4 linked regions of the Elephas maximus indicus genome follow. The protein of the gene in region 4 interacts with the protein of the main gene of each other region in a biochemical or structural test. Links are inferred from orthologs where the notes say so. Each region holds a gene or a part of one and is shown on either strand. Other genes may lie near its edges.

The links.
Region 1: the proteins of ERBB2 (region 4) and NCK2 form a complex in vitro, tested with the Homo sapiens proteins (2 studies listed by BioGRID and IntAct, with this or other methods). The link is inferred for Elephas maximus indicus from reciprocal best matches to the Homo sapiens genes ERBB2 and NCK2.
Region 2: the proteins of ERBB2 (region 4) and ERBIN form a complex in vitro, tested with the Homo sapiens proteins (4 studies listed by BioGRID and IntAct, with this or other methods). The link is inferred for Elephas maximus indicus from reciprocal best matches to the Homo sapiens genes ERBB2 and ERBIN.
Region 3: the proteins of ERBB2 (region 4) and SLA2 form a complex in vitro, tested with the Homo sapiens proteins (2 studies listed by BioGRID and IntAct, with this or other methods). The link is inferred for Elephas maximus indicus from reciprocal best matches to the Homo sapiens genes ERBB2 and SLA2.

What each region holds. Positions count from the first base shown.
Region 1 is NC_064835.1:79,826,074-79,833,828, forward strand, and holds the start of NCK2 (cytoplasmic protein NCK2), read right to left. Parts: upstream 3,004-7,755; 5' UTR 2,833-3,003; intron 1-2,832. UniProt on the Homo sapiens protein: Adapter protein which associates with tyrosine-phosphorylated growth factor receptors or their cellular substrates. Maintains low levels of EIF2S1 phosphorylation by promoting its dephosphorylation by PP1.
Region 2 is NC_064820.1:70,759,972-70,767,722, reverse strand, and holds the start of ERBIN (erbin), read right to left. Parts: upstream 3,003-7,751; 5' UTR 2,321-3,002; intron 1-2,320. UniProt on the Homo sapiens protein: Acts as an adapter for the receptor ERBB2, in epithelia. By binding the unphosphorylated 'Tyr-1248' of receptor ERBB2, it may contribute to stabilize this unphosphorylated state.
Region 3 is NC_064843.1:32,882,710-32,889,981, reverse strand, and holds the start of SLA2 (src-like-adapter 2), read right to left. Parts: upstream 3,003-7,272; 5' UTR 1-3,002. Other genes in the region: protein NDRG3, read right to left, coding at 4,716-4,897. UniProt on the Homo sapiens protein: Adapter protein, which negatively regulates T-cell receptor (TCR) signaling. Inhibits T-cell antigen-receptor induced activation of nuclear factor of activated T-cells.
Region 4 is NC_064837.1:46,995,366-47,003,304, forward strand, and holds the start of ERBB2 (receptor tyrosine-protein kinase erbB-2), read left to right. Parts: upstream 1-4,931; 5' UTR 4,932-5,192; coding exon 5,193-5,265; intron 5,266-7,939. UniProt on the Homo sapiens protein: Protein tyrosine kinase that is part of several cell surface receptor complexes, but that apparently needs a coreceptor for ligand binding. Essential component of a neuregulin-receptor complex, although neuregulins do not interact with it alone.

The sequences.
Region 1 (7,755 bases), on a different chromosome or scaffold from region 4:
TCTATACAGCAGCACAGCCCTGGCCTAGCCGGGGCAAATCTAGCTAATGTCAGTGATAAAGGAAAAGATTCCAGGCGATCAGGAAGTCTTTAGAGTATTTTAAAAGGTTATCCAGTCTGCGCACATGCAGAGAATTTCCAGTGCTTTAACATAGATGATAATTCATTTCTCAAACACTGTGTACGCAAGAGCTGCTGCTTGTTGGAAAACAATAACCCCCTACGCAAACGCCAGAAGGTGAGACTGACAGAGAAGATTCAGGATGCAGCTGTATAACGATTTGACCAAAACTTACCATCGAGCAAAATTCAAAGCCTGGAAACTGAGCATCAAAAAAACTGAAAACCAGGCCCACTGCTGCCCAGTCAATTCCGAATCATAGCAGCCCTACAGGACAGAGTAGAACTGCCCTGTAGGGTTTCCAAGGAGCAGCTGGTCAATGCCAACTGGTGACCTTTTTGGTTGGCAGCTAGCTCTTAACAGATAGGAAACTGAGCACAGCTATTTAAAATGCACCTTAGACATGCCTCACCCACCTAAAAAGTATGGGTTTCCCCCCTCGTGGACACAGGGCTTAAGGAGCAGTCAATTCTCCTATGGCAATTTGCCACCAGCTACATCCTGAATTCTGTGACAATCCAGTTCAGTGTTTACCCAGCAGCTAAGAAGCTCAGGCCCAGGTGCAGAGGAAGATGAGTAAGGCACCTCCACAAGCTTACAACTGGCTTCAAGTTCTGAATTCCAGCATGAAGCCGTCCTAAGACCACCATTAAGATTCTGCCACTTTCTTCAATCAAAACTACATCAAACCAACCTTGAGGAGAGAGAAATATCGAGGTGTGGTCACTTCTTCACAAACCGTGTTCACACCCACTCGTCAGAAAATCTGTCTCCAACAACATCTAAAAACCAATTTATCTATACCAAACCAGGAACCGTGGTGGCGCTATGGTTAAGCGCCTGGCTGCTAACCAAAGGTTGGTGGTTTGAACTCATCCAGCAGCTCCATGGGACAAAGACCTGGTAATCTGCTGCCATTAATGATGACAGCCAAGAAAACTCTATGGGGCAGTTTTCCTCTGTCACAAGGAGTCACCATGAGTAAAAATCAACTAGACAGCACCCAACAACAGACCCAAACATCCCACATTTCTTCTCCACGTTTACCACTGATTATCATGAACATTTATTTATATAAACCACGCACATGCTTGAATTCTCTTATTTGCCCTTTACCTAGGAACATTTGGCGAGTGAGTTACCAGTGTGTTCAGAGGCAAAGTTTACTTCTGTTCTGATAAATTAAAGCAGCCCCAGGTAAATTTCATTTTCACTTTTTTTCCTTCATTTCTTAAGACTGAGAAGTACTGTTTACAACTGTATCAAAAACAGTGGCACAAAGCACACCCCGAATTTTCATTCCTACACAAAATCTACTTCAAGAAGCCAGGGCTGTCCTGGGACTGGGGACTCTCCTACCTGTGGGTGGAAAGGGAGCCACCTGGCCAGAGTGCAGCTTCTTTATGGGTCAATGGAAGGAGACGGACTTGATGCTGGTAAGCCTTTCTTGCCCAGCACTGGGGTTTGCTCGCACTATGCAGAAGCCAACTGATTATGGAGAAGCCAACTGATGGGGTGAAAACTTGGCCGAATGGACCTTAAACCTCTTCGCAAAATAAACAAGCCAAATAAAGGGGAAACTGCCAAACCGAATTGTCTGAAGTGGCTGAGGCAGACTCCAGGTACATTACTGCTTTGACCCTGAAGCTGTTAAAGTGTTTATCTTAAGTCAGGTGTCTGACGTTCATCAGCCAGTGACCCCCAGCGTCCCCCGCAGACCTTCCACGGTGATCTTTATTGTCTACAAATTAAAGCGTTTTGCAAATTAAACCCCTCCATACAATATCCCCCAAAAACCAAGCTGGTGAGGGAGTTACAGTCAATGCCTTAGGAGTCACACACCAAATTCTTCGGAACCACTTCGTACTTAAATCGTCCTGAATAAGCCAGGAGAGCAAAGCTGTGATGAGAAACTTTGGTTCCGGTGGCTGTAACAGAATCAAGTAAATCTGGGACAGGACACGGCTGAATCCGCCACAAAAGCGCCCTTCGCCTAGGCGAGGACCTCTTTTATGCGATATGACAGCAGCTTTGTGCGGGGATTCATAAATAGTTCCAATAAGGACAGTAAGTTCTCTCGGCAAAGCTCGGCCTCCCACGTCCCCTGCGCAGGAGCCCTGCAATCCAGGGCTGTTCTTCCCGAGGACGCACGCGCCCCAGCGACCCCGGCCACCCCCACGGGCCTGCTGTGACCCCGAGGAGGACGCACGCCCACGCCCGGCCCCGAGCTTCGTCCCCGCAGCTGGCTCGGAGGCCGCTTACTCCCTGCCTGCCCGGGGCTCCCCAGCTCCCCGGGTCAGTCAGTCCCAGCTTCGCGGGGTCGACCGGCAGCCCCCGGCTCCCGCACCCTCCTGCCTGCCCACGGCCAGTGCCCACACTCCAGGAGTGTCGGCGGCGAAGGGGCCCGAGCCGGGCAGGCGAGAAGAAAGGTGAGGAGTTGCGAAGTGCGGCGCCCAGCCCTGCCCGACCCCAGGGGCAGACAGCGCGGGGCAGGGGGCGCCCCAGGCCGCGCGCGGCAGGGCCCGGGGACCCGGTGGAGAGGGCAGAGGGAACCCAGTCCCCCGAGTCCCTTTCCAGGCGCAGCCCCGCCCCGCGAGCCCCCGCCGCGCTCCCAACTCCACGGAACGGCCACAAGTTTGCGGCGGCCGCGGAGCCCCCGCGCCCCCGCGCCCCGAGCCCGTCCCGGCCGTGCTCCCCGGCGGCGGCGCTTACCTCGCGAAGGGGTTGGCCGGGCCGCCGCCCGCCGAGGGCAGAGAGGCAGCCGCGCGCGGCGCCGCCCGGAGGGCCGGGCGCGGGGGTCCCGGCGGTGGCCGCGCTCAGCACCCGGGAGACGCCGCTCTTTGTCTGCGCCGCTTCCCTCCTCGCGCCGCCGCCGGCCGCTCGCCCCCTCCCGCGGCCCGGCGTGCGCTGCCCCGGCCCGGCCGCCGCTGAGCCCTGTCGCCGCCTCGGCCCTGCCGCGTCCAGGCCCGGCCGTCCGCCCGCCCGTCTCGCCCGCTGCTCCGCGCCTCGCTCGCCCGCCGCGGCTCTCAGCCTGACGAAGCCCCGGCGGCGGCAACCCCTCCCCCGGCGCCCAGCTCCCGCCTCCTCCGCTCCTCTTCCTCCTCTGCGCCCTCCCTTCGCTGCCCTCTCCGCCTCCTCCTGCCGCTCCTCCCCCGGCCGCGCCTTGACGCCGTGCGGGGCGGCCGCAGGCCCCGGGTGCTTGGGGCGCCGGCCGCCGAGACCCACCTGGGGGCGCCCGGGCAGCACAGGGCGCGGCCACCTCCTCACAGGGTTCTCCCGGGCCCGCCCCGCCGCCCCGCGTGCGATCCGTGCCCGCACCCAGCCTCCGGCCGCCTCTCCGGGACCGGACACCGGGCAGGCTGTCGGGCCCGGCCGGGGGCCCTGTGGAAGATCGGCGGCCCAGGGCCTGGAACGCTTAAAAGAATAGCAGGGACGCAAGGGAATACTCAGCCTGGGTGGCGCGCGAGCCGCTTGGCGACGGGTAAATACTGGGAGAAACGCGGTACCATGTGCGGAGAGAAAAGAAAGTACCTTTACCGTTGGGAGTGAGGCACGAGAATGAACATAAGGCAGCAACTTCCAGCCTTAAATGACTGGTAGGGTCGTCTTTCCCATCCTTTTAGTTCGATTTTCTTATCAGTGCACTGTTTGGCCACTGTCCCCCTCCCGGAAGCGTCCCCAAGGCACTCTGCAAAGCAGGTCTGTTGTCCATCAGAAAAGTGACTTACATAAAAATGTCACTGCCTCCCAGTAATTGCTTTTGGATATTTTTGATTGTCTTGCATCTGTTTACACTCCTAACCAGACAAGTTTTTGCTCCATCATCCCTGTTGGAGGCACTTCCTAAGGGGAGGAGAGGAAACCCAAACTCTGCTGCCTCCCCTGCATCGTCACCAGCTCGAGCCAGTTGGATTCTGGTTGCACACTCACCCACGAGGACAGAACGCCATAAGGAGCTGCCTGACTGTGGGCCCAGAAGGAGTTGTCACTAGTGGGGGACTGGTTCACTCAGCACCAAGTTGCCGCTTACCTGTAAACAAACTTGGAAGCTTAAAACCCCGGAGGAAGAGCAAAGACAGAAGTTTCACTTTCGCAGGCACTTGCGTGCAGATGTCTGTTCTCCAGTCCCCTTCCCATATGGCTTCCCAAAGGAAACCTGAACATGCAAATAATCCTGATGTCCTAGTGGGATGGCATGTCTCCATGTTAAGATTTTTTCCTAGATTCTTGGCTTCTCCATTATTATTAAAGCAGTAATGATCTATCCAAAGTGACGGGGTAGTATTATTTGATTCACAAATCCCATCGCGTTCCCTAAAGGAAGTATCCAAGGATAGGTAACTAGAGTCAGTATGGTTTTGAAGTCAATTCAGTGACTGTTGGTTTCCCCAACTGTGTGACCTTGCACAAATTATCTCTTAACCTTTCTACGCCTCAGTTTCTTCCTCTGCAAGATGGGAATGTAATGTTAACCCACCTGACACAGTCCCTGGCAGTAGGTGGTGCCCATTAAGCAATCTCTGGTGGGAGGGGCTAGGGGAATCAGGACATCTTCATTCTTCTCTGCAGTGATGCTGGAAAAAAAGCGACCTCCATTCATCCTTTAAGGAAAGCCTGGTGGCAGAGTGATTAAGAGCTACAGCTGCTAATCAAAAGGTCATCAATTCGAATCCACCAGGCACTTCTTGGAAACTCTGTGGGGCAGTGTCCTGTGGGGTCACTATGAGTTGGAATCAACTTGATGGCAATGGGTTTGGTTTGGATTCATCCTTTTGTGAAAACCTTGTTTTACTAATATTTTGACTAGGAAGAAGGGCCTGGCAATCTACTTCCAAAAATCAGCCAATGGAAACTCTATATGGATCACGATGGCCCAATCACATTGTGCATGTGGTCACCATGAGTCGGATCTACTTGACAGCAGCTAACAACAACAACAGCTTTACAATAAGTAAAACAGAAGTCCAGTCATGGTCTGGCCCAGTTTTAAATGAACGTACTCAAAATAAGTATAATGATATCAACCTAGTTTTTACTTGTTTTGTAAACTTTGACTGAATCATGGATGTGTGAACTTCACCCAGTGTTTCCTCTTCTTCCTCTGGTAATTTCTTAAAGTCACCCACGGCGTTCTCTGTCTAAACCCAGTGGTCTTTTCCTCAAACGTCATCCTGTACAGTTTTCTGAAACGTGTCCTTTCTACTATATTTCAAACATGATCATCTTTTCATTTGTCTAAAATGACTAATTCTGATTCTCTTACATTTCTGCCCACCCATCTGTCTCTTTGTGGGGTATTTTGACTCCCCAACCTGTAACCGTAATATTCCCAAAGCTGACTTTGGCCTTTTGTTTTTATTCTGATTTTTTTTTTTTTAAGAGAGACAATGGTTTTTTATATCTTGCAAGCTGGACTTTCAGCCAATAACTCCTAGCTCTGTAGCCTTAGATACCTCCTCAGCCCTGATCTCTTACCTACACTCCAATGCCTTACTATCAGCGGCCCAGAAGACCTCTCCTGTAGGCCACTCGTTGTCTCATCAAAGTCAGCATGTTCAGAGTGAACTCATCACTTTTCCGAGTTAGCTCCTTCTCCCACCATCTCTCAGGCTTGCCCAGGAGTGCACCATGCACCTTGGCTCCCAAGGTAGAAAGCTCATGCTGCCAGGACTTTTTCATCCCCACTGTTTTAGCTCTCCCCAAGGAAAGTAAGGAGGCGGCACTAGAGGACATTAAGATCGCTTTCGGTCTAAACTCCTGTGATTCTGAGTCCTGTTGATTCTTAAACATCTCTTTGATAGTACCTTTCTATTTCCAATGCCACCATCCTAATATTTATATCATTAACAATAATTGTAATGTGTATTTATTGAATTCCTTACATATATTATCTCTAACTCACATACAATATTATCCCCATTTTACAGATGAAAAAATTGAAAAAGTAAGTGCCAGAGCTGGGAACAGAACCCTCATGTTCTTGACTCTAAGTCTCTTGTTCTTTCCTCTTGTACCCACTACCTTCCAACTCGCCTCCCATACCTCACTTCCTCCCATCCCCCAGATTTACATGGAATATCAATGTCTTCCTAGCCGGCTTCTCTCTTGCCCCTCCCCTTGCACAAAAGCCTCTCATGGCACCTGCACTAAGCAAGTGGCGCTGGGCAGATCCTGCCTTCATCGTTAACTGCAAGGTACGGATCAACTGGCAGAGGCAGAACTGGGGTATGGCTGGTATGGCAGGTATTGTACCACCTGTGGGTGCTTGGCACCACTGAAAGTTTCTATTAACCCATCACGACCAGCGGCTACCTACAGAAAATGGCGCCCCTGCCCAAACATCTGACACCTTTCTTTTAAATAACTCTATTATAATAAAAACCAAAACCAAACCCATTGCCATTGAGTCGACTGACTCACGGTGGCTCAATCAGCTCAAAAATACAAGTCAAGTTTGTTCATCTTTTAATTAACACGTTACTGTGCTTGAGGAGGAAACCCTGGTGGCATGGTGGTTAAGTGCCACAGCTGCTAATCAAAGAGTCAGCAGTTTGAATCCGCCAGGTGCTCCTTGGAAACTCTATGGGGCAGTTCTACTCTGTCCTATAGGGTCACTAGGAGTCGGAATCAACTCGACGGCACTGGGTTTGGGTTTGGGTGCTTGAGGAAGTACGTTGGGCCGTACCGAGTTAACAGAAACTGTCCAGTGGCTCCATGCACCCAGGACCAGGGCGATACCCTAGACATGCCACCGGCATCAACAAGAGTCCGATTCCCAAAGTGTGGGGACGGATTCAGTCCTTAACTTCCCACTTCTCCATTCTTGTCACCAGCCACTCACAGGCATACCCTCCCACGCTAGCCACCCAGAGCTGCGTCAGAGCCCACAAGTTACACGGATACCATATTTCAGACCAGCTATCCATGCAGCATTACTGGGCCCTACCCACCTAGTGCTAGGTCATGGGTCAGACCTCACACATTAGAAGGACACCTTCTTTCAGATTGCCAAATAGGCAGACAGAAGCCCGCCTGGCTCTCGGCTGCCCCATGGGTTCATCAATTCACTGGAGTGACTCAGCAAATCTCCTGGAGAGTGCACCATACTTAACAGCTACAACTCTATTACAACCAAAAAGGATACAAATGAAGAGACACACAGGATGAGGCCTGGGATGGGTCACAGCACAGAGCTTCCACGTCCCAAAGAACACACTAGTCTCTGGTACATGGTCACAAGCCAGGAAGCACCTCTGAGCCTTGGGCCTTTATCAGCCTCACCACGTGGCTGTGGTAGATTACATCATGCCTGTGAGGCTTAGGCAGCATTGGGCACTCAGGTGATCCCTCTTGGTCAGATCAGCCCCCATTCATCAGCCTCAGGTGTTGGTACAGCTATGAAAAACAGAACAAAGGCCAAATTGCTTTCTGTAAGGTGACCGCACACCTCAAGCTCCCAGTTTCCCACCGCAGTCTGCTGAAACTCCTCTAATCACACAAGGGGTGAGCATTTGCTCCAAGGAAGACTGGGCAATCTAGCCCTAAGAAGCCTACATTGGTTTCCCTGGGCCGATACAAACTGCATGGCTTAAAACCACAAAACTTATTCTCAGTCACAATCTGGAGGTCAAAAAT
Region 2 (7,751 bases), on a different chromosome or scaffold from region 4:
AATTTGGTTTCCATATTTGAGCCTCCACAAACTTTCATATGTGGAAAATTTCCAATAGCTTGATCACAAGCAGCAGGCTGACTTCGTATCTTACTACTTGAAATGATTAGTTGACGGATGAGTTAAATACATCACTAATGAAAACATGATTACCTTCAACAAACAGCCATTAAATATGTATTTTGTGCAATATAAGCAAAACACTTTGGAAGTACTCTATATTTGCTAATTTAATCCAAGAAAACCCACGATACTAAGAATATCCAAATTTTTGAAGCCATTTAAAATACTTGAACTGATTGTCTCTCTAAAACAAGTATCTTTTCAAACCTTTGTCACTATATTTTTAAAAAAGAGTTTAAAATATTTATTGTTTGACAAGATTAAAACCTAAAATTCATTCATAAACCTAAAATTCAACACTAAACTCATAGAATTCTAAGTGAACCACAAATTACACCTTGCTGAGGGGGAAAAAAAGGACCCAAACACAGATACAAAGGTGAGCACCTCACTTTTAAAAATGTGTTGCCTGCATCTAAACATACTACTATTCCCTCAACAATGAAAAAAAGTCAAGAACTATAGCTTATAACCGGTTTTAAATATTTAGGTGCTACAATTTTTTTTTTAAATAAAATTTACTAATATAGAGAAACATCTTCACAAAGTTAAGTCTCTGTAAAAGATTTGCTCTATTAAGACTTTGGTACTCTGAGGCCAAGTATAAGCCATATAAGGAAACTGAAGTTCAATGTCATTTATTTTGTTCCGCTCTTTCAGATGCCCAAGAATAACCTCTTCCACTGCCTAACCATACATTCCAAAATCACAAAGTAAATCAGTAATGCATTTTAAACTCCTTGATAAAGCTAGTTTGACGTAATAATAATTGCTTGGTGGTTCACAAACACACACAGGTCTAGAGACTAGGCTCTGGGAAAATATTAAAACGATACATACTAAAAATTAAAAGATTCACTTTTTGAAATGTGGTTAGTAAAGTAACAAAGAACAAGCTGTGAAATACTTGATTCTGATTTTTAAGATCACCTCTTCTTTGAACTAAAGAAAGGCAACTTTTTCCTCAGGTTTCCGGTAACTACTTGAGGTCTCATGGGCAAGCAAAACATAAATTTATAAAGATACACCTACCAACGGAATACTGTATTTATCCAATATTTATTCAAAAGCACAGTATATTATCTTCACCCCCCTTTACCACAAAAGTACCGGGAAAAGCTAAACTTCAAAACACAGACACAGTAAAACACCACTGAAAAAACAATCCGGGTTTCCGGCAACCAAAACTAGTTTTATCTAAGAAGACAACCCATTGGTTCAGAAGTGTTCATAACTCTGACTGGTGGAACGTCTGCCATGCTTCATGAATCTCTCCCCCTCAGTAGGTACCTGGCATTAAGCAGAACCTGGTAAAAACATTTGTGGCAATACAAAAATGTAAATACTGCACTATTCAAAAAGTACTGCTTTGTATCAAAATCAATGTGACTTCCACGAAAGTCCTTTTACTTCTCTTCCTACACATTCGGTTCTCAGTTGCAAAGAAGTCCTGGCACGCAAATCAAACCAGTTACAGGTGCGTTGTTTTTTGTTTTTTTTTTTAAGTATACCTCTCTTCATCCATAACCCCTACCCCCTCCTTTTTCTTCCTACTAGGACAGTTACAGGAAAAATCTAACAGATACTTGCTTTCAATTAACGAAATAAGTATTATAAGGTTCTAAACGTCTGAAAGGAACAAGTTATTACCTAAAGAAATATATTACCCGCCCAGAAAAACGATTAAGAATGGCAACGCTTTTTTGTTTTTGTTAATAAGCTCCAATATATTTATAAGGGCTTGAACTACAAAGTCTCTGTATATAATTAACCAAAATAATCGGTAACAGTATGAACAAATGTGGCTGCCATCTCTTAAAAGCGAACCACTCGCTGCAGCGACCTTTCTTCCAAAACAAGAGTTGCCAGACTCAGCAACTTAATAAAAAAAATATACATTGTATATGTTCAGGAAAAGTAAAACTTCTGCACCTTGTGCTAAACAAAGGCACTCTTTCTTCGGACTGCAGAGAACTTTTCGTCCCACCGCATTCTTAAAATCTTTTAAAATAACCAGAGCCTAGATGGTAGAGGGGAAAAAAGTGGGGGGGGGGGGGAACCTCAGTACTATGTAACAACTAAACTATATTCGATATTACAAGAGAATTTAGGGCAACTTTGCGGAAAAGTGAGAAACACTAAAGTCTTTCCTGGCCCACGAACTTTGTGACTTCTAGACACTTTTCGTGAAAATTACCTTTCGGTCGGGCAGTGTCTCAGGGCAGCTTTTTCAAGGCTTCGCCTGACATGATTTCCTTTCCTTCATGAGTCACTTTGGATCCAGTCGAATTTCTCCCTCCGGTGAGAGCGGATGTGGAGCGGCCTCCCGCAGTAAGAAGAGTAGGTTGCTTTGGTGGGGGTTGGGATGCGGGCTGGTTTCCGGGTCTCGAGTTTTGCAGGAGTTTCCCAGCCCCAAGTAGGCTCTCCGCAGGGGGGGGAGACTTCTCACTCGTGACACGCCCGGAATTACCGTGCGAAACTCACTTCCTGCCTCGGCGAGAAGCAGGATCCAGCTCCGTCCAGGGGAACCCGGAAAACCAGCTCCCCGCACTCCGGGGAGGGGGCGTCCGCGGGGAGCCTGGGGCTCGGGCCCCGGGCGCCCCGTACACCCGACGGAGGCGGAACCCGGCCGACGCGGTACTAGACGCCGCCGAGGTGCTCGGCGAGCCTCGGCCGCACTAGGCCGCCACCTCCTCTTCGCTGCCGCCGCCCCCAGAGCCGGGCGGCGGGGTTATTGTCTCGATAGCGCCTGCCGCGCCCTTCGCCCGCGCTGCTGCCGCCGCCCGGAGCCGGAACCGAGGGGCCGGGGAGACTCGCTGGCGGACCCCTCCCCGGGCCGTCCGTCGGGCTGTCCGTCCTTCCGTCCGTCCCTCCCCGCCTTCCCTTCCCCGTCCTCGGACCCTCTTCTGCTCCCTCCCCGGTTTTCCCGCCGCCGTCCCTTCGCTCCCCTCAGCGCTCTTCTTCCCCAGCGGCTGTGGCTCCCCCAAGAAGCGCAGGGGGAGGGGACAGCCGGCGGCGTCTCCTCACGAGCTCGTGGGGCCGCGGCAGGCGCCGAGGCTGCGTCCCGCGCTGCCGCGCCACATTCACTCGAGCTAGGGACAGCGAGGAGAGGGGAGGGGAGGGGAGGGAGGGAGAGGAGAGAAAGGAGGAGGAAGGGGCTGGGGTGGAGAGGAGTTACTGCCTCACAGGCCGCGACAGCAACAGCGCCACCGCCCCGGCGAGGTGGAAGCAGCAGCGCGCGGCGGGGGCGGGGCGGCCTCCCGCCGTCTTCGCCCCAACCGCCAACAGCCGGGCTGGAGGTCGGCGCGAGCCAGTGGCTGCTCGCGGGGGCGGGCGGCCGACGTCGACGGCGCCGGGGGGCGGCGGGCGAGGGGCAGCGGGGCCGTGGGGGAGGGGCTGTCGGCGGCCGAGGGTTAGCAAGTGAGTCGCTGCGCGGCGAAGGGCCCCGGGGAGGCCTATCTGCCTCTCCCCAGCCCGCCCCACGACCCCGCACACACCCGCTCCTGAGCGGTCCGAGGGGAGTGGCGGTGCAGACGCGGACCCTGACCGGCTCCTCGCAGCGCCGCGCTGAGCCCCGGAGACCGAGAGCCCACAGGCCTCCGCCGCCCCAGCTGACTGAGTTTCTTTGTACGACAGTAATCGGTGCGGAGAGGTTGTCCAAGTCCAACCCCGATTTGAAGGCTGCAGGTATCTCTTTCAACTGCAGCACTCCAACTTCCGCTAATGGCACGCTCAGGTTGCAGGAAACCACAGCGGCATTTCGGTGAAGCTTCCCACGCTGGCCCTTGCTCGGAGCTTGCTCCCACAGCCACCCAGCTGGGGCTCCTCCAGTTCTCAGCCTCACACCGGCAGGGAGACAAAGCTGGCGCTGGAAGGAGGAAAATGGCCCGCGAAATTGCCTCAAGATAGTGCCTTTGTTTGAAGAAACATTGGATATACTCCGAATGCGACGTAGGCTTCCAACCCCAGCGGTTTTGGTGGTGCAGTGAATTGCGTTGGCCCTAATAATTCAGCCTGGCAGGGTTTGCGTTTATTGCGGAGAGAGATTTTTAAGGATTGTGTCAACACATATGGCACAGAAATCCTCAACCATAACATCGCACTGTTTTTTGCAGTTGCTGCTTTAGATACCTTAACAGGCAAGACGGCTTTGTTTTACCCGGAGAAGAAAAGATACTGAGCAAACCACACACCCCACCCCCTACCCCCGCTGTGCTTAACTGTGTACAGTGATGGTAATTAGTCTCTGGGTCCCTGAAGTCACTGGTTCAGTTCTTCCGTCTGCGTTACAGAGATAATTATTTATTACCAAGTATGAATAAAGAGTTGAATACCCTGCAGATGATTTTTGGCGCGCATCCAACGGGAGGAGTTCATTAAAAACCATCAAAGAATCATTTACCAAAGTGAGTTGTATACTTGTGAAAAGCACTTGAAATAACCCTAAAGATACTCAGGACATTCTACTAGGGGCGGGAGCATTTTAACTAACCCCACCTCCCACCTCTAACCCCCCATTGCTGGAATTAACCCTGGTAAAGGAGCCGTTATAGGTTGCTATGAGTCGGAATCGACTTGACGCCAACGGGTATAGGAGCTCTGGTGGCTAGTAGTTAAGAGCTGGGCTGCTAACCAAAAAGTCGGCAGTTCGAATCCACCATCCGCTCCTCGGAAACTGTATGGGGCAGTTCTACTCCGACGGCAACGGGTTTGGTTTTGGTATTAGTTCCTTAATGTAGAGCAGAAGTTGAAGATTTACTAATAATATCAATACCAGATTGTTCAGGCTTATTCAGTGCTTAACTGGAAGTAAGAGTGTTGTAACTAGAATAGGAAACAGCAACCATATATGCCAAGCGAGGTATCCATTTTATATGAATAAGAATCTTAGCCATTGTATAAAATTTAAAGTTAGCATATTATATGATCAATTTTTAAATCCTCATGAGAAAAGATTTCTTCCTCACTTCCAAAATCTCCTGTGAGTCTGAACAGAGCCGGATGTTCTAGCTATGAACTGAAAGGATCAGTCCCCTAAATCATTCCAGGGTGAAGAATCTCCCATACCAGAGACCAGCTGGATCTTGGAATTAGAATGCTAAATCTAGTCTCAAGTTGATTCAACCAAAACCTGTTGCCTTCAAGTCATTTCCGACTCATAGCAACCCTATAGGACAGAATAGAACGGCTCCATAGGGTTTCCAAAGAGTAGCTGGTGGATTCAAACTGCCAACCTTTTGGTTAGCACCCGAACTCTTAACCACTAAGCTGCCAGGGTTTCCCAGGTTGATTCAAGAGCCCTTTAAATCTTGGGGTGTCCAAAGTAAACCTAACCACCACCACCACTGCAAACCTAAATAAGTAGAACTAGACCACATCCCTAGGCTAAGACCTGCCCTGTCCTAGTCATTTTTTACTTGAACTCATACTCAGGACCAACCTGGCTAACCATCATTCAGGCTACAGAAGTCCCTATAACCCAAAAGCCCTCCTTCAGCTCACCTGAAATTCTGCCATTGGGGTTTTTTCCCTTTGAGTAGTTTCATCCTCTGGCACAAAATCATAATCCTGGAAAATGTAATATTTTAAGCCTTATTAGTTATTTAGATCTAATTCATCAGATTATTTCCCAAAAGCAGATTTGATGGGAGGGAAATGGAAATAATACATGCTGAGGCTGAGTATGTAGGAGAGGGAAATGTGGTTTCATTCCTTGGAATAATGTATGAAGTATACGATTAAAAAAAAAAAAAAACGATTAGAGACAATAAAATGACTCCCTGTTGATTGTTAAATAAGTGTTGCTTACTCATAATATAAGAATGAGCCCCAAAACACTGTTCTTCAAGGGTGGAAGCCAGGATACACTCGTCAATAGTTATCTATGTTTTGTCAAATATTTCTTTCATAATCCCTTTATAAAGTAGGCAATTGGTTCTTCGAGAACTGTACCTTCAGCAGTGATTCTGCATCTGTACTCATAGAAAATGGTGAAATGACAGCTATATAATCAGGGTATATGACTCATCTTTGCTATTCATCGCTGACCACTTACTTCTAACTCATATGAACAGCACATACAGATACAGCCAAATCGTGTAGTTGTTCTTTTTTATAACCAGGCATTCCTGCTCCATGCTTTACAGATTAGTTTCTTATGAAATTTCTCCCTCAAGACCCTGAACTAAAATGGACTTCACTTTTCAATCATGATTAAAAGAACTAAAGCCCCACCCTAAACAAGCCTTCCTAACTGTGATTGTGTAATGATTAACCGATTGTGTAATGATTAGCTTGATCTTCTCCATTGTTATTCTCTAAATGATTCTTTGCAAAAAGCAAAGGAATCCTTTAGGATTCTTCTTCCCAAAGGTTGAACTCAGGAAAGGAATTACTGCCTAATAGAGATAAGCCGTACTTCTTAAGGAGATGCCTTAAGGCTTTAATCATTCCATGGAATACACACAGCTCCCATCAGAAAAAAAAGTACCGGGGTATAAGGCCAGGTGCTTTTAAAAGGGTCCCTCTATCATTTCCCCAAACCAGCTGAGCAGCTATGCAGAAGCATTAGAGAGACAAAAGTAGCAGGAGGAAAGAAAAGGTTTGGGGTGATAATTCTTCTTTTCTCCTTTTTTCAACCCCTTGTAAAGAGTTGGTTACCTAAAATCAAATTTTTCATCATAGTGGTGTTTGGAGAAGATCAATCTCAGACCAGAGTACGGTTACATTCAAAAGAAGTCAAGAAGCACCGTTGTTCTTAGGTGTCATCAAGTCGGTTCTGACTCAAAGTGACCCTACGTACAAAAGAATGAAACACCGTCCAGTCCTGTGCCATCCTCACAATCCTTACTATGCTTGAGCATATCATTGCAGCCACTGTGTCAGTCCACCTTGTTGGGGATCTTCCTCTTTTTCATTGACCCTCTACTTTCCCAAGCATGATGTTCTTCTTCAGGAACTGGTCCCTTCCAATAACGTGTCCAAAGTATGTCAGAGGAAGTCTCATCCATCATCCTCGCTTCTAAGGAATATTCTGGCTGTATTTCTTCCAAGACATATTTGTTCATTCTTCTGGCAGACCATGGTATATTCAGTATTCTTCACCAACACCATAATTCAAAGTATCAGTTCTTCTTTGGTCTTCCTTATTCATTGTCCACCTTTCACATGCATATTAGGCAATTAAAAACACCATGACTTGGGTCAGGTGCACCTTACTTCTCAAAGTGATCTCTTTGTTTTTTAACACTTTATAGATGTCTTTTGTAGCAGGTTTGCCCAATGCAATGCATCGTTTGATTTCTGGACTGCTGTTCCCATGGGTGTTGATTGTGGATCAAAGTAAAATGAAATCCTTCACAATGTCAGTGGTTTCTCCATTTACTAAGATGTTGATTATTGGTCCGGTTGTGAGGTTTTTGTTTTATGTTGAGGTGTAATCCATACTGAAGTCCTCTTCACTTTCAGCAAGCAAAGTTGTGTCATCTGCATATCACGGGTTGTTAATTAGTCTTCCTCAAATCCTGATGCCACATTCTTCTTCATATAGTCGGGCTTCTCGGGTTATTTGTGTAGCATACATATTAAATAAGTATGGTGAAAGCATTCCTCCCTGACACACAAGTCTG
Region 3 (7,272 bases), on a different chromosome or scaffold from region 4:
GCTAAGATGCATGTTTGGCTGGACAAGCCAGGACTCTGGGAGGATGCCCTTGTTGAAGTCTGCCAATGTCTTCGGTCCTAGGAGACCCAGAACTCTCTTAGCCGGGGAGTCTTCAGGGAGAGGCTCCAGGTATCGGTTTGGGTTGCTCAGCATCTGCCTGTGGTCAGCAGTTTGTGCACCTGGAATGGGACAAGAACCTCATGCTTCTGAGGGATCATCAGACTGGGCATCCCTCCCAAGCAGAGCCAGGCCAAGGAAGAAGGCCCAGGGCTCTTTGAGCTCTGTGTCACAGGAGCTATGGGTGCAGGGTTCTTGGAGCTCCCAGCTCACATCTGCAGACTCTGTGGTTCTCACAACCACTCGTTTCCTCTGACGGCATCACAGACCATTGAGGAGCCACCTTCCCCAAGTTCCTGTTTCTGAGGGAGAAGCTGCTGCCTTGTCATGATCCTGGAGCAAGAGGTTTTTCTCTGGCTTTGTCGTTTGGTCTTGTCCAAGGAACATAGAACCGAGGTAGAATGGAACGCAGAGTTTGAGCAAGGTTTCCCATACTTGCCTGAGCATAATAATCACCTGAAGGGCTTGCTAATATTAGAGATTCCTGGAATCCTCCCACACCTTCTGAATCTAAGTCTCCAGAGGAGCCTAGGCATCTAAATTTTCAGCACTCCAAGAGAGTCCTCTGATTGGCAACCTTTAATGTATAAAGGGAGCACTTGGGAATCTGGTTAAAATGCAGATTCTGATTCAGTAGGTTTGGGGTGGAGTTCAACATTCTGCATTTTAAGCTTCCTGGGGATGCCAGTATTTTGGTCTGTGACCACACTTTGAGTAGCAAGATTTGGACAGTGGTTCTCAGTGTAGTTCCCAGATTAGCAGCCTTAGCATCACCTAAGGATTTGTTAGACATGCATTCTCAGGCCCCACTCCAAATACGGTGAATCAGAAACAGATGGTGGGGCCCAGGGATGTTTTCACAAGCCCTTCAGGCAACTCTGATGCATGCCCAAGTTTGAGAATCGCTAATCTAGGATAAGGAGCCCTCGTGGCGCAGTGGTTAAGCAGCTGCTAACCAATGGGTTAGTGGTTTGAACCCATCAGCTACTCCACCAGAGAAAGGTATGGAAGTCTGCTTCTGTAAAGATTACAGCCTTGGAAACCTTGTGGCAGTTTTACTCTATCCTATAGGGTCGCTGAGTCAGAACAGACTCACTGGCAATGGATAATCTAGGATAAAGAATCTGTCTTTGAGTGCTGTGCTACCTTCCCTCTCCACTTCATTAAAATTTAAAGAACCATACCCACTTGCTGCCTCCCCTTTAGGGGGCCAAGTATTCCTGGAGACAGATACTCTTTAACACAACATGGGTCCATTGCACTGAAATGGCTCCTGACTCTGGTTCAGACTTCTCAGCCTTTTCTGGTGGTTTTTACCAGTTAGAGCACCCTCTAGCTCAGGTTCTCAATGTTTCTGCTGGTCCCTCAGTCTCTGCCTTTCTCCTGGGGAAGATTGGTTTGAAATTTAACTTCACAGACAGATGGCACACAGAGCTGGAAGAGGCAAGTGTAGGCACATTCTCTGTAACAAAGTTCTAATCAGATGTCAGAATGGATGACAGCTACTCAAGGATGTGGCCCTTGGCAGGGAGGATAGTGAGCACGGGCCCAGACAACTGCTCTTGCCTCCATACCACTGATGCCGCCATTCTTATCTGAAGGCAGGCTTTTAAGACTAGCCTCAAGGTGAAGTCCATGAGTGAGGTAGGAAGTAGGGAAGGATCATCTCTCAGTTCTTCTTAAAAGAATTCGACCATATTGGTCCCTTTCCACTTAAGGAGGCACCTAAGGATTAGAAAGAGAAGTTTACAATCCTTGATCTGCCACTAATTAATTTTGTGACTATATATAAATTAACTCTGGGCCTGTCTTCCTATCTATAAAATGGGAATAGCATGTATCTCATTGGATCAATAAAAGGAAGCTTACAGGAAGGTGCTAAGTGCCTGGTATATAGTAGGTACTCAATAAAAGGCCAAATAAAACATGAAAATGTGATAAGATGATTTTTAGAAGAATAGGAAACTAACTTTTCAAGCTAGATGCCTTGACCAAATTGCTTAAGTTTCCTCAGCCATTGTGTCTGTAAAATAGACACCGCCCACTTTGCAGGGTCGACACGAGAGCTGGATACAAGGTATGTGGGGGAGCTTGGTACAGTCATCTTATGTACCTACCTGAGTTCACTTGGCCACCTCCTTGCTTCTCATGAAGCAGGCACTTGATTTTTTTTTTTTTTGTTACTGAACAGGAAGAGGGAAAATGAAAATAAGATGAATGAGTAAGGTAAGGGCCTAACTACAGGGACAAGTCTAAGGTGGGAAAGCAGGCCACCATCCATTCCACATGGGGCTCAGAAGGTTAAAGCAATGTGGATTTTTAGAGCAGTTGTGGCCATCAGAGCAACTCCAGCTTCAGAACCGTGCAGAGCACTGGCTGGGTAATCTCTGTCTGTTCACGTGCATTTGTTTCATCCTCTCTATCAGAACAGGCAGGGTCCATGTCATTTCATGCGTATCTACAGTGGATACAGCAACCTGGATGGACTTACGGTAGCACAAGGATTACTTACACCCCGTGTCATTCAAAAGTGATTTGAGATAATGGGCTCATAAAATTATTCTTGGTGGGTACAAAGATAGCCATTTCTTAAGAAATATAGCCTGGTTTCTTAGAGGAACCCAGACAAGTGGTTGCAGATTATTACACAAGGGATGGAGACGAGCAATCCTGCAGACATGGTGGAGCTGAGATATGGAAAGCCTTTCCAAGACTCCACCTTCTTTTTCACAAACAGAACAGTTGGACTTCTCACGATTTTTGGTTTGAGGGGAATATAGGCATGTCAGATGGACCTGGGGTTCAATCCTGGCTTGGCTTACTGGCTGTGTGACCTTGGGCAAATTATTTATCCTATCTTCATTTCCTTACTGTAAATGGACAGTTTTGTTGGGTAGAGTAAGTGATCACGTGAAAATGCCCAACATGGAGCCAGCATACAGTAACTCAGTCTCTCCCTGAGCTCCAATAAGTGGCTTGAAAGAAATAACACCAGTGATCAGGTAACAATGAGACATATACAGCTTTATTTAATAATCTGTTAAAAAGTCACACTCTGACAGAATGACACATTCCCTATCTCAGCAGAAAGCAAACAATGTGTCTGAAAAGTCCCTTCCCAAGATTCAGACCTGTGTAACCCTGAGCTTACATCTGATGCTCTCAGGAGCTGGGCCCTTGCTGTGTGGCAGATGGTCTCTGCATGGTTCTATCACCCTCCTCCCAGCGATATTCTCTGGCTAGCTGTGACCCTTCACATAGCAGTGGACAGGAGGCTGAAAACATGGACAGGGTTGCCCTTACAGATTGGTCCCTTCTCTCCTACTACAAAAGGGAGTTCAAGAGATTAAGAATCCTTCTCAGAAATGAGTTCGATATAAATTTGGCTTCTATTCATTAAACATGATATTATGTTAATGTCTGCCCCTCTCCTCCACCCATTTTGTCATCACCTACATAATATTTAGGCCGTACCTGTCCCTCTTTTGGGGACCGAGGGATGGAAAAAAGCTCTCTCTCCATTACAGACATGGGACGCATTTCTTATGAATGCTTTGTGTAGTAGTGGCATCCGACATGCAGTGACAGACGTTTTGTTCCTGCAGAGCCAAGACCTGGCATTTTGTTTTCCACCTTTCTGTGCTAAGAGAGTCCAGTAATTAAGCCACACTCACACCTTGGGAAAACTCCACATTGTATCAAAATCTTATTTTTCATGGACTTCCAGCAGAATATATCCTTCCTTTTATGTATAGAATAGTATTTTGTGAGTTCATTTGGAGAGAAAGGGGTGACTGGTCACCCTGCCCACCTCTCTATGTAATAAAACCAAAAAAACCCGTCGCCACCGAGTTGAATCCAACTCATAGCGACCCTATAGGACAGAGTAGAACTGCCCAGTAGAGTTTCCAAGGAGCACCTGGTGGATTTCAACTGCCGACCTTTTGGTTAGCAGCCGTAGCACTTAACCACTATGCCACCAGGGTTTCCCTCTATATTATAGGCACCCTCTTATTGGTCACAATCAATCAGAGGTCCAAACAGTAATTGTGACCTTCCACATTTCTCAGAATTTCCCCTTTCTGAAGTCACTTTGCAAATCTTATTGAACAACTTGGAACCAAAAGAGAATGCACTGGCCTACACAACAGAGAAATCTGTTCTGCACATTTCCCCTAAAAACATCATTGAAAATGCAAAAAAAGTCCCTTTTTTTGTTTTTTGCAGAAGCTCTACAAGAAAGCGTGTCTAAAATCACAGGACTATGTACACACAAACACAGAGATGTGTGCTCGCACACACACGGAGTTGGGATCAAAGAATCTTATCGGAGCGCAGGACAAAGCTGGAAAGAGAAGATACAGAGATTTGACCCGCTAAAGATGTTGGAATGTTATAGTAATGGCATGGACGTAGTTCTTGATACATACAAAAAAGGGGGTAGGCGGGCAGAGAGAATGATCAATTCAGGCTACCAGAGAGAGAGGGATTCAGTGGCCATGCATGAGTTAAAAATGGTAGATGCCAGTTTGCTGGATGAAATGTTGTATTATGGAGTGATCAGATGGATCTGCGTGGTCCAAGGGAGGGGCATCTGCTTAGCAGGACACCTCCATGGTCTCCTGTTTGTCTGGGTCCTCAGAGGACTCAGGGACTCCTTGAGTTCCATCTGATTGATTGCTGATGAGAGACCGGCTGTAGGGACTTTCTCCAGAGCTCAGGCTACTCGAGGTTGAATGGGTTCGTGACCGGGCAAGTCGAGTCATGCTGGCAGATGGTACTGTAAGAAAGAACCAAGAGGACTAGAAGGTGGAGCCCTGGTTAAGCTCAGCTAAATCAGTAAGTTTCACCAAAGGCTTTATGTTCAGGTTTCCCAATCCATTTAAGGTGACACCCAGGGACAAGATATAGCCATCCCCACTCTGCACTATTTGCTCTAGGTGAGTGGTTATATGCAAGGTTGCTTTAATCCTTTGGATCTGGCTGGAATCTCCCTAATTCTAGTCCACAGCAGAACAAGGGGAAACCCTAAGCCCAGAGTATAGCCTCTTAGCTGCACCCACACTATTCATACAGTTATTAGGGAGGAGGTTTTGGGAATCCTAATAGGTAACCAAAACCTGTAGTGCATGCAAGACTAAACCAAAGAAAAGAAAGACAAACTACGTAAGTATGAAGGTGTTTCACAAACAGCGCAAGCCCGATACAACGAGACTACCATCCATGACCACAGACTCCCCTTACTGTCTGGGGAGGAAACATGGAGGGAAGGTGAGGGTGTAAGGAAGGGCAGATGGGCTTGGAGCTGACCTCTGCACAGGGAGTGAGGTAAGGTTGCCCAGGAGGGAAAAGGACTGGGGATAGGTGTTTAACCAGATTTCTGTTCTGCCACTGCTTTGACTCGAAGGTCCTTCCAGCTTGGACAGGACAGGGCCTTACCTGGCATAACTTCCCTGCCTAGCCTCCTGAGGGACCAGCCACTATCCAAGCTGTCACTTCAAGGGAGGGGTCAAAAGATGCCATCACCTGCAGAGTTCTCTGGCACAGGCTCTGACACTCCTATTTTAAAGTTAAGGCTGCCCTACAATCTCTGGGCCTGGGTGTTAACTCAAGGATCAATAGGCGGTGGTAGAAGAGGGGTCATGTCTAAAAGCTATGAAGTTTCAGCTTCTGCTGTGATCCTGGATTTGGGATGAGAGGCCTTATAGCCCTCTCCTTTCTTCCTCCTGGGGGGCTCGGGATAGACCTGCAGGCTAACCTTCAAGCACAATGAGCCACGTTCTATCGGGCTCTCACTGCACGGGAAACCGCGGACATGCTGCAAGCAGCCAGTGCAGCCAGGAGGGTGTATGGCTGGGAGGCAGGGGCAGGGCCAGCACAGAGGATGGTACCTGACTCGGTGCTCAGGTGACTGAGCTGCACATACGGGACTGGAAGCAGGATGGACACAGGAAAAGGCAGGTTAGTGACCCGAGAGTGCCAAGTGGCAACCTGGGCTGCCTAATAGACACTGACAGAATACCCTAAGCCAGGGGTGAAATTTTATTTTAAGGTTCTAGAGAGGTGCTGAGGTTGAATAGCATCTCAGATGCTACTTCTCTCAACCAGTCAAGGGCAATTGTTTTCCCACCCACTATGAAAAGTCATCTTGCTTTGGATCATAAATAGGCTGGAAGACAAGCTGTTTTCTAGAAAAAGAAATGGAGAATGGGCTAGAAGAGGGAATTCTGCTAGAAGTGGATGTAGGCTCAGTTTTTAGGAGCTCACAGACGAGGACTACACAGCCACTCCAGACAAGACATACACAGTCTGCCTGCTAAGTGCCAGGCTACATCCAGGTGCCCAGCTATTGCCCAGGGCAGCTGATAGGCAGCTCACCATGGCTACTATCCACACTAATACCAAACACACGGGGGAAAAAAAAATCACTCTACTGGGTAAAGAGCTTTGTACCCGGATGGAAAGATTTTCCTTTTTAAAACTCCAAGAAAGGAGCAAGTGTGGATATTCTGTGCCAACTGAGAAAGCTCAGGAGTCACACAATACAATTGACCAGGACAGTGGAATATAAGGCAGACACATGCTTTGGACTTTATTCTAAAATACTCTGCAAGTTCACCTTCTGTGGTGGAGCAGACTTAACTGAGAACATTACCCTTTTCTTTTGCAGTCTCTATTTTGTTTCCCTAGGCCAGGAGTAATTAATCAGCTGATTAATATATTAATAAATTATGTGGCACTAGTTTTTTTTTGTTTGTTTGTTTCCCTAGGCCAGGAGTAATTAATCAGCTGATTAATATATTAATAAATTATGAAATCATAATTTCATATTCAAAGCTAGGACAGCCTCAGCTTTAGTGGATGAAAATGCGGCCTCTGGAGCCAGACTGCTAGGGTGTGAAACATGGCTGTGCAGCGTACATGTTCCACCGGGAAATTTGCTTAACCTCTTTGAGCTTTAGTTTCCTCTTTTATAAAATGAGACTAATAATAGAACTTACCTCTTAATGTTATTGTTAGGATTAAGTGATACAATGAATATATACTGCCTGGCCCAGGTAACTGTTAAGGTAAGTGTTAGTTCATTTTATATACAAGCACAAGATGAATGGTCTATAAATGTTCTGGTTTTAACTTGACTTAAGGGTGGCCGGC
Region 4 (7,939 bases):
TTACAGAGGCTTAAAAAATTCATTTTTTTTTTTTTTTTTCTTAATGAATACAAGTTTCCATGATGACAAAGTACTTAGGGATGATAGAGTTAGGATTTTAAAAAATCTCCTGAAAACTTGACCTTTTACATATTTGTAGCTACTGGACCTCTTGAAATGAAAATTTAGGAAGGACACAGTCTTTTTTATTCAATCGTGAGGTAATGGGGTTGTTATTGACTACCCTTTTTTGAGCCGGAAAAGGCAAGTTGACAATGTTTCAGAGTAGTTAGCATTCCTTGGTTAAAATAAACAAAAACAGAAGTCAATAGTTTTACAGTTTGGGTTAGGCTTTTACTCCTAATTTTGGTATCACTGGTAAGAGAGAACCCCCTTGAAATCAAAGTAAGAAGTCTTTTTATATTTTTTTGACATAATGTAATCATCTAAAACTGGAGTGTCCTCCAAAGCCAGGGCTTCACCACTGCCGTCGTTTTATGCTTCTGGAAACTGCCTAGTTTTCTCCTCCCAAAACCAAAAATCAGAGGCAAGAGTGACCTCATTTACACTCTCATGGCCTGCACTTCAGCGTGAAGGAGGATATGCTTGGAGTTCTGAAGGGCCAAGGGAAGTGGGAAGACTCAGGGCTGCTGGAACAAGAAACCTAGGAGAGGGGTGGCTCAATGGGGGCTTTCAAGGGACAAGTGTGGGGCTTGGAGGGGGTCACTGTCCCCACACCAAATCCTAAAACCCTGTGACCTGGAACCATCCAGTCCAACTCATATTTCAGTCAGCAAAGTGAGGCCTTATCCAAGGCCACACAGCTAAGCTACTGTTAGAAGAGAGACCCACAGATAAACTAAGAGCACATGTTAAATGAGAACACACACAGACACTGACACACAGAAATTAGCACCATGACAACTTTGTATGCACAGGCCAGGATAGAAGTCACTCATTCCTTCATGTATATGCATTAAAGCGAGGTGAGGCGGAGGACAGAGAGGGCTTTTTCTGAAAAGCACCCTGAGGACAGAAAGGGTCCTTGGGCCTGCATTCCCGAGAGAGATGTGGGTGAGAGGGGCTGAGGGAGGCAAACAGCATGACCAGGGCCAGTGGGTCTGGCAAGTTTGGGCTCTGCCTTTTCTCTAACCCTGGGCCCAGGCCTCCCACACGATTAGGCTACAAGTATTCATACATGGCCACCTATAGTAAGGATGGATTTTCTTTTTTTTTTTTTTAAGGCTGGATTTTCTTATCAGAAGCTTCTAAGTTATTCTTCTGTGGCCCCAGGGAGGCCTTGTGTGTACTCTCAGGGGACTCTTTCTAAGTAACTGATTCACACAAACACTTGCCCAGGAATCCATGCCCCAGGCCGGAGGTTCTGTGGGGCAGGCCCCAATTTGTGGCCTGGACCTCGGACTGTGGACCGTACCCTCCCTTCTTCTGTTTGTTTTCAGTTCTCTGACCCCAGGCTGGCTGGTGAGGTAGGCAAAGGGGAGGAGACTCCGGTGCCAACACAGACAAACACACTCACAAACACACAGCTTCATGTGCTCCCCAGTTTCAGTGACCAGTCAATGATTGACTGGCATTTCACAGGCCGCTTGTTCCAGACCCCGACCTGTTGACCCTTGGAGGTCACCTTTGTGAGGCAGAGCCCTGTCTTGCCTCTTCAGTGGCAATGGTCACGTCTGCTGCCCATGGATCTAGTACCTATCACTCAAAGAGCTCATGCATCTGCCCCCCGGCTCTCAGTTTGCTCCCCTCTGTCCCATGGTCACCATTCCTCTGTACCCCAGCCTCCCTCTCCCTAGGCCCCTCACTAAGCCTTTCTCCTGGACTCTCATGCTCCTCCAACAATCCCGCCCCTGCTCCTCAGCCCTCTCTTCCCCCCTGAAACTCCCCCTCTCGTTCTTTGTCCCTCATACATCCTCTTTCCTTGGCTCTCCTGCCAGGCCCTGCTGGAGGGACAGTGAGGGGAGAATCGAATCAGCAGCGCCCACCCCTGCCCCCCTTCCTCTCCTCTTGTCAAGCAGCAGACAAGGTTTTTTCCCCTTCCTTCCCGGCTCTGAATAGGCTCATTCTCTTTGAGAGATTGGGCCCCTCTCGAGCCTCCTCCCCGGGGCGTGAGTTCTGACCCCAGCTCCTCCCCCATCCCCTCTCCTGCCCCCACTCCCTGGCTCCGGCCTTTCTCTGCAGCCCACTAGGACAGAGCTTTGTCTCCCTGGGACCCGGGATGCCGAGAGGATGGGCTTGCTGTGGAGGGGGAGGCAGGATCTTTGCGGAGGGAAGGGCTGGTAGTTACCCAGGCTTCTCTTCTCAGAGGGGTCTCCTCTAGCTCCCGTGCAGGGGCCTGGGGAGAAGGTGGGTTCAGGGAACCCACCATTCAGGGCTCTTGAAGCTGACAGTCCAAGCCAAAGCCACCGTGGTTCTACAGATGAAGTTCACCTCCCAGCTCTGCTTGTGACCTTGGACAAGTTTCTTCACCTCGAGGAATCCTGGGGTTTCTCTTTTGTAAAAGGGAACTGATCATACCAGTCTCCTCTGGTGCCTCAAGGATTCAGTGACACGAGGACTGTGGCTCTAGTACAGAGAGTCACAGCTTTCCTGACTGGATGAGCCCTTCTTTACTCTGGGGGAGAAGGGACACCTCTAACTCTGGCCCCAACCTTGACCCTAACAACCTGATGGGTTCTGGATGCCATATGTGCTCTCACCCAGGTGCAAGCCCTTGATATGGGATCAGCAAATGACTCTTGGAGCCAAGTCAGCAGCTCCTCCCTAAAGGACTGAGAGGCTGCGAGGCTGAGAGGCACACTGACTAGCCTCTGGGCTGTATGATGGGGTGGAGGTGAGAGGCTGGTTTTGCTGATTGTTCCACTTTTCCCCAGTTAGCCCTAAGACACTCCTGAACAAATAGTTAACTCCTTAGAGCCTTAGTTTCCTTAACCCTAACTCCAGAGAAAATAAGAATTTGGATGACCATCTTGAAGGGCTGCTGTATCCCCGTGCACAGCAAGGTTTCTTGAACATCTGTTACTATCATCCAAGGAATAAATCCATTTTATATCACCATCTGGGACACACACAAAAGGGCACCTACCCTTACTACGTGTGATGCTCTTATATTTTCTATTCTGTTTTAGTTATAAAAAAAAAAAAAAAAAAACTAATCTTGATATGATAGTCTCAATTGGTTTCACAACCATCTAATGGATCCTGTTTTTTTTCTTGGAGGTTTCCTGTATTCCTTTTCTTGGAGCCCTAGTGGCACAGTGGTTAAAGCACTTGGCTACTAACCGAAAGGTCAATGGTTTGAACCCACCAGAAAGATGTGGCAGTCTGCTTCCGTAAAGATTTACAGCCTTGGAAAGCCTATGGGGGCAGTTCTACTCTGTCCTATAGGGTCGCTATGAGTTAGAAACAACTCTGTGGCAACTGATATGGTATTCCCTTTCTTAAAGAGGGTGTCCCAAAACTTATAAGCTTCAGGCCCCCACAAAACCTGTATCTGCCCCAGTATAACTACCAAAACCCGTTGCTGTCCAGTTGATTCTGACTCATAGCTTCCCTATAGGACAAATTAGAACTGCCCCATAGGGTTTCCAAGGAGTGGCTGGTGGTTTTGAACTTCCGACCTCTTAGTTAGCAGCCTGAGTTCTTACTGTGCCACCAGGGCTCCAGTATAACCACAGTTGGGACTATTTATTGAGCAATTACTGTGTGCCAAGTATGGTGCTAAGTGCTTCAGGAACATTATTTCATTTAACCACTAGCACAACATGCCAGATGCTATTACAGACCCTATTTCACAGATGAGAAGACTGAGACCCAGATAGACTCAGTCTCTTGCCCAAGATCACATAGCTGATATGTGGCAGAGTGGAGAGATTTGAACTCAGGTCATTTCTGATTCCAGAGCCCCTGATGCTGTCACCACCCCCTACCTCCACCTCCTCCTGTAGAAGTGTCTGCTTATAAAGGTGCCTGGCACATGGGAGCAGTTTAAGAAATGCTACTGTCTTTCATTCTCTACCCCCTGGTAGGTGCCTCTGACCCTCTCTTGACCAGCACAGGCTTTGCTCTTGGCTGGGGCATTCCAATTAGATTTGTCAGATTTAGCAAATAAAAATAAGGATACCCAGTTAAATTTTTAATTCAGGTAAACAACGAATAATTTGTTAGTATAAGTGTGTCCTGTGCATTCTTCTGTTGGAATTTCCAGCAAAAACATGCCTTCCTTCTATCCTCATCCCCACCCCACCCCCACACCACAGGGCCTGAGGAACAGGGTCAGGGGCTCCTGGTGGAATGCAGGGTGGGGAGACGGAAATGAATGAAATAGTAAACTGCAAGGGGCAGAGAAGAAACCTTGAATGAATTAGGTGCTGGATGCCCCCATAAAGAAACAAAAGGGATGTTCTTCCAAGGATGGGGAGGTGGTCCCACCAATTTGAACGTCTCTCCCCCACCCCCATTGGTGGACCCCCTTAGGACCATGCTTTTCAGGCTGGGGAAGATACCCAAAAGATTTGAAAAGGTATCCCAGGGAGTCCCGGAAGCCACAAGTTAAATACAACACACTCCCCTCCTTGACTGTCAATTTTACTTGAGGATGTAGTGGGAAAACCATTATTTGATATTAAAACAAACAGCCCTGTGATGTGTAGGGCGCAAACTCGTCAGGAATGTTTAAGATAAAACGGGCGACTTAAAAGTGTTAAGGATGGCAGGCGGCCCCTAAAGAAGTTGCCCCAGACTCGCCGAGCGGGGAGAGTCACTGCTTTTAGGGGTTCTCCAAGGAAGCGTTTGAGAACTGCTACAGGGAACCCAGGCGTCCCAGCCCTGGGAGAGACGCTCACAGGCCTGCGCGGAGAGAGGGAGAAAGTGAAGCCGGGCCACTCCCCGAGACTTGCTGGAATGCAGTCGGAGGGGGTGGGGGGGCGAGCTGCGAGCGCGCTTGCTCCCAATCACAGGAGGACGAGGAGGAGGAGGAGGAGAACGGCTGCCTTGAGGAAGTACAGAATGAAGTTGTGGAGCTGAAACTCCCCTCGATCGTAGCAGGAGGGACGAGAAGCACCCCAAGGCCACCGCCCGCCCCTCCCAGGGTGCCAGCCCGGCGCCCAGCGCCCACCCTTCGCCTCGCCGCGCCCGGCACCCTCGCAGCCTGGTCCAGCCGGAGCCATGGGGCCGGAGCCACAGTGAACACCATGAAACTGGCGGCCTGGTGCCGCTGGGGGCTCCTCTTCGCCCTCCTGCCCCCCGGAGCTGCGGGCACCCAAGGTAGGTCTGGGGTGGGGAGGGCATGGAACAGCGACGGAGACCCTGCAGCCTGGGTAGCCGCAGAAAGCGGGGACCGGCGGGCGGGGCAGAAGGGCCCGCGAGCTCTCCGGACCCGAGCTTGGGGACAGTCGGCCGCTCCGAGCAGCTGGGCACTCGGGCAGGGAGGGGGCAAAAGAAGATGGGCCAGGGGGCAGTTACCGAAGCAGCTCTAGAAGTTCCATTCAAGAGACTGGCTCCGAGAACTTGTCAAAAGTTCTCGGAAATTATTTAGAAAGTTTCCATGAAAGGGCAGATTGCGCGGTGAAGAGCATGTGTGTTTCCCCCCTCTTGAGCCCTCTCAAGCTTTCTCAAAGCTTTTCCAGTTGGCAGCCTCCGCCCCCAGACTGGACTGGACTGGATTCCTTTGGGGGGTCCCCTCCGCCCTGTCCCTCTCCGCCCCCTTCAGTAACTAGGATTTGGTTACTCCAGCTCCAGGCAGGGTCGGTGTGTGGAGGGGGGAGGTGGGGACAGCAACCTGTTCAGCCAGAGCCGGGAGGAGAGGGCGGCGGGTCTGGCTGCAGAGTTGCCTCATACTGGGGTCTGGGCTTGTGGGGAGGGCGAGAGGGTTGTTTTGAACAAGTTTCTTTAGGGCCAGCTTGGGGACTGGGTGTTTTATGACTCTCGAAGAACACAGGGGATGGTGGAGTGGTGGTGGCGGGCTTCGGGTTCTGGGGCATAAAGGAGGAGAGTTTCAAGGAAGGGTTTCCAGAACAGTCTGGACCCGGTGGTAAGAAATGGGGCCAGGTTGGGGAATGCAGAAGGCTGGGCTGTGGAGCTGCCTTTTCCTTCATGCTGTGTGGGAAAGGGAGATGGGGGCAGTGTGTGTCCTGAGAGGGGCATCTATCTTCCTCTGTAGGCAATAATGCTGAAAGTCAAGGTATACCGGACGCATACTGGGTGCTAAGCACTAGGTATGGCATTTTCCATGCATTCATTCCTTCCTTTAATCCTCAGGACCCTATAAGGGAAGTCCCACTAGTATTACTATTTTCCAGGTGAAGACCTGGCATTAATGAGGTTTAAGTAACAACCAGTGATGGCGGGCTCAGGTTGGACCCCAGGCAGTCCCATCTCTAACTACACATGTGAAATCACCGTATTAATCTGCCTTGAACAAGGGAAACACTGCACCCTGCTTGCCGGAGTTGTGGGGAAAACCAAATGAGTGTTCCGAAAGTAGTGGGTGGTCCCCATAGGCCACGGAGCCAAGGGGTGGTGGTGTCATAGTGCCTGAGCGTTGCCAGAGGGTCAGCGTACTGCTGTGCTGAGAGTGTCAGCGTGCGTGTCTGAGGCTGCGTGTCTGGCAGGGTGTTGTTGAGTTGTGTGGTCTGGTGTGTGTCTGGGCTTTGTGTTGCCAAACAGCAATCTCCCTGCTGACTTGGGCACTTGGCTGAACTCTGCCCTCTGAAGGAACTCAAGGTGCCGGGCCAGATCGGCCGTAAACAGCGGAGGTGGCCCCACGCCTTCTCTCTGAGGAAGGAGGCTCCCCTTTCCTAGGGAGCCAATCCTTCCCCTCCCTGTTTCCTAGGCGGGCGTCCTTGCCCCTGGTGCTCTGATGAGAAGGGTGAGGCTAGGCTGGGCTGTCACGCAGGAGGGACTGGGCTGCTTCAGAGCTGGGTTGTGAAGGGTGGTGGGACTGCTGTTCACCAGGGCTTCCTCAGCCCTCATCCTGCATTGCTGGGTACAGAGAGAGAAGCTGGGTGTGTTGTGCAGGGAGTGGTTAAAACAGCACACCACCCAGCTGCCTCCAACACTCCTGTTATATGTCAGGGCTCAGGGCAGGGGCAGGAATGTGGGGGGAGGGGGATGTGGGGGAAGACCCAGAGGGTCAGGATTTTACTGAGACCCTTTCTTAGAGGTCAACGTTTTGTAAATTGCAGCAAACTCGTTCTTTTTATCATGCAGAGCTCATATTTACTCCCAGTATGATTCTCCCAATAGCTTTCTCCTTTTACTATACTTGAGGATTTAGGAAAAGTAACCTTATTTTAATATTCAAGGGGAAAAAAATGGAAAAGATAGGCTCACGTGTAAAAAGAGAACAAATTCTACATTCCAAAGTCATGTTCTCTTGGTTTGAGATTTCCCATATTTCTGCTGTATTAATGTCTCTTGCCTCAACTTCCTACGTTCCGAGTTCTTACGCACAGTTTCATTTAATCTTTGCAACAATCCCGTGAAGTAGGTGCACAGGTGAGAAAACTGAAGTTCAGAGAAGTGAAGCGACTTATCCAAGACTCCCCAGCTAGCCAGTAATGTCCAAGGCATTTTGACTCCTCTAAGGAGACCTCAAGAGTTAGTCAAAGTCTTAATTCCATTCAACAGGAATGGGTTGAGCAAAGCCCCAGTTTAGGGGCAAACATGTGCCCAGAAGGGATAGAAACACTACTCAGATTTTTAGGTGAATGACTTTTCCATTCATTTAACTAGGTTATAGAAAGTAGAGCTGTCTTCCCCAACCCAGTGGGGACCCTCCTGGCCTGAGAGTCCTCTCTCTCCCTGTCTAGCTCATGCCTGCCTTCCTCTCGGGCCCTCCCAGCATGGCAGGGGACTGAGGGCAGGATGGGAGCAGAGGCCACTGGGACACGCATGGCTATGGGCAGAGGGAGACATGGAGTGGAAGCATGAGGGACCA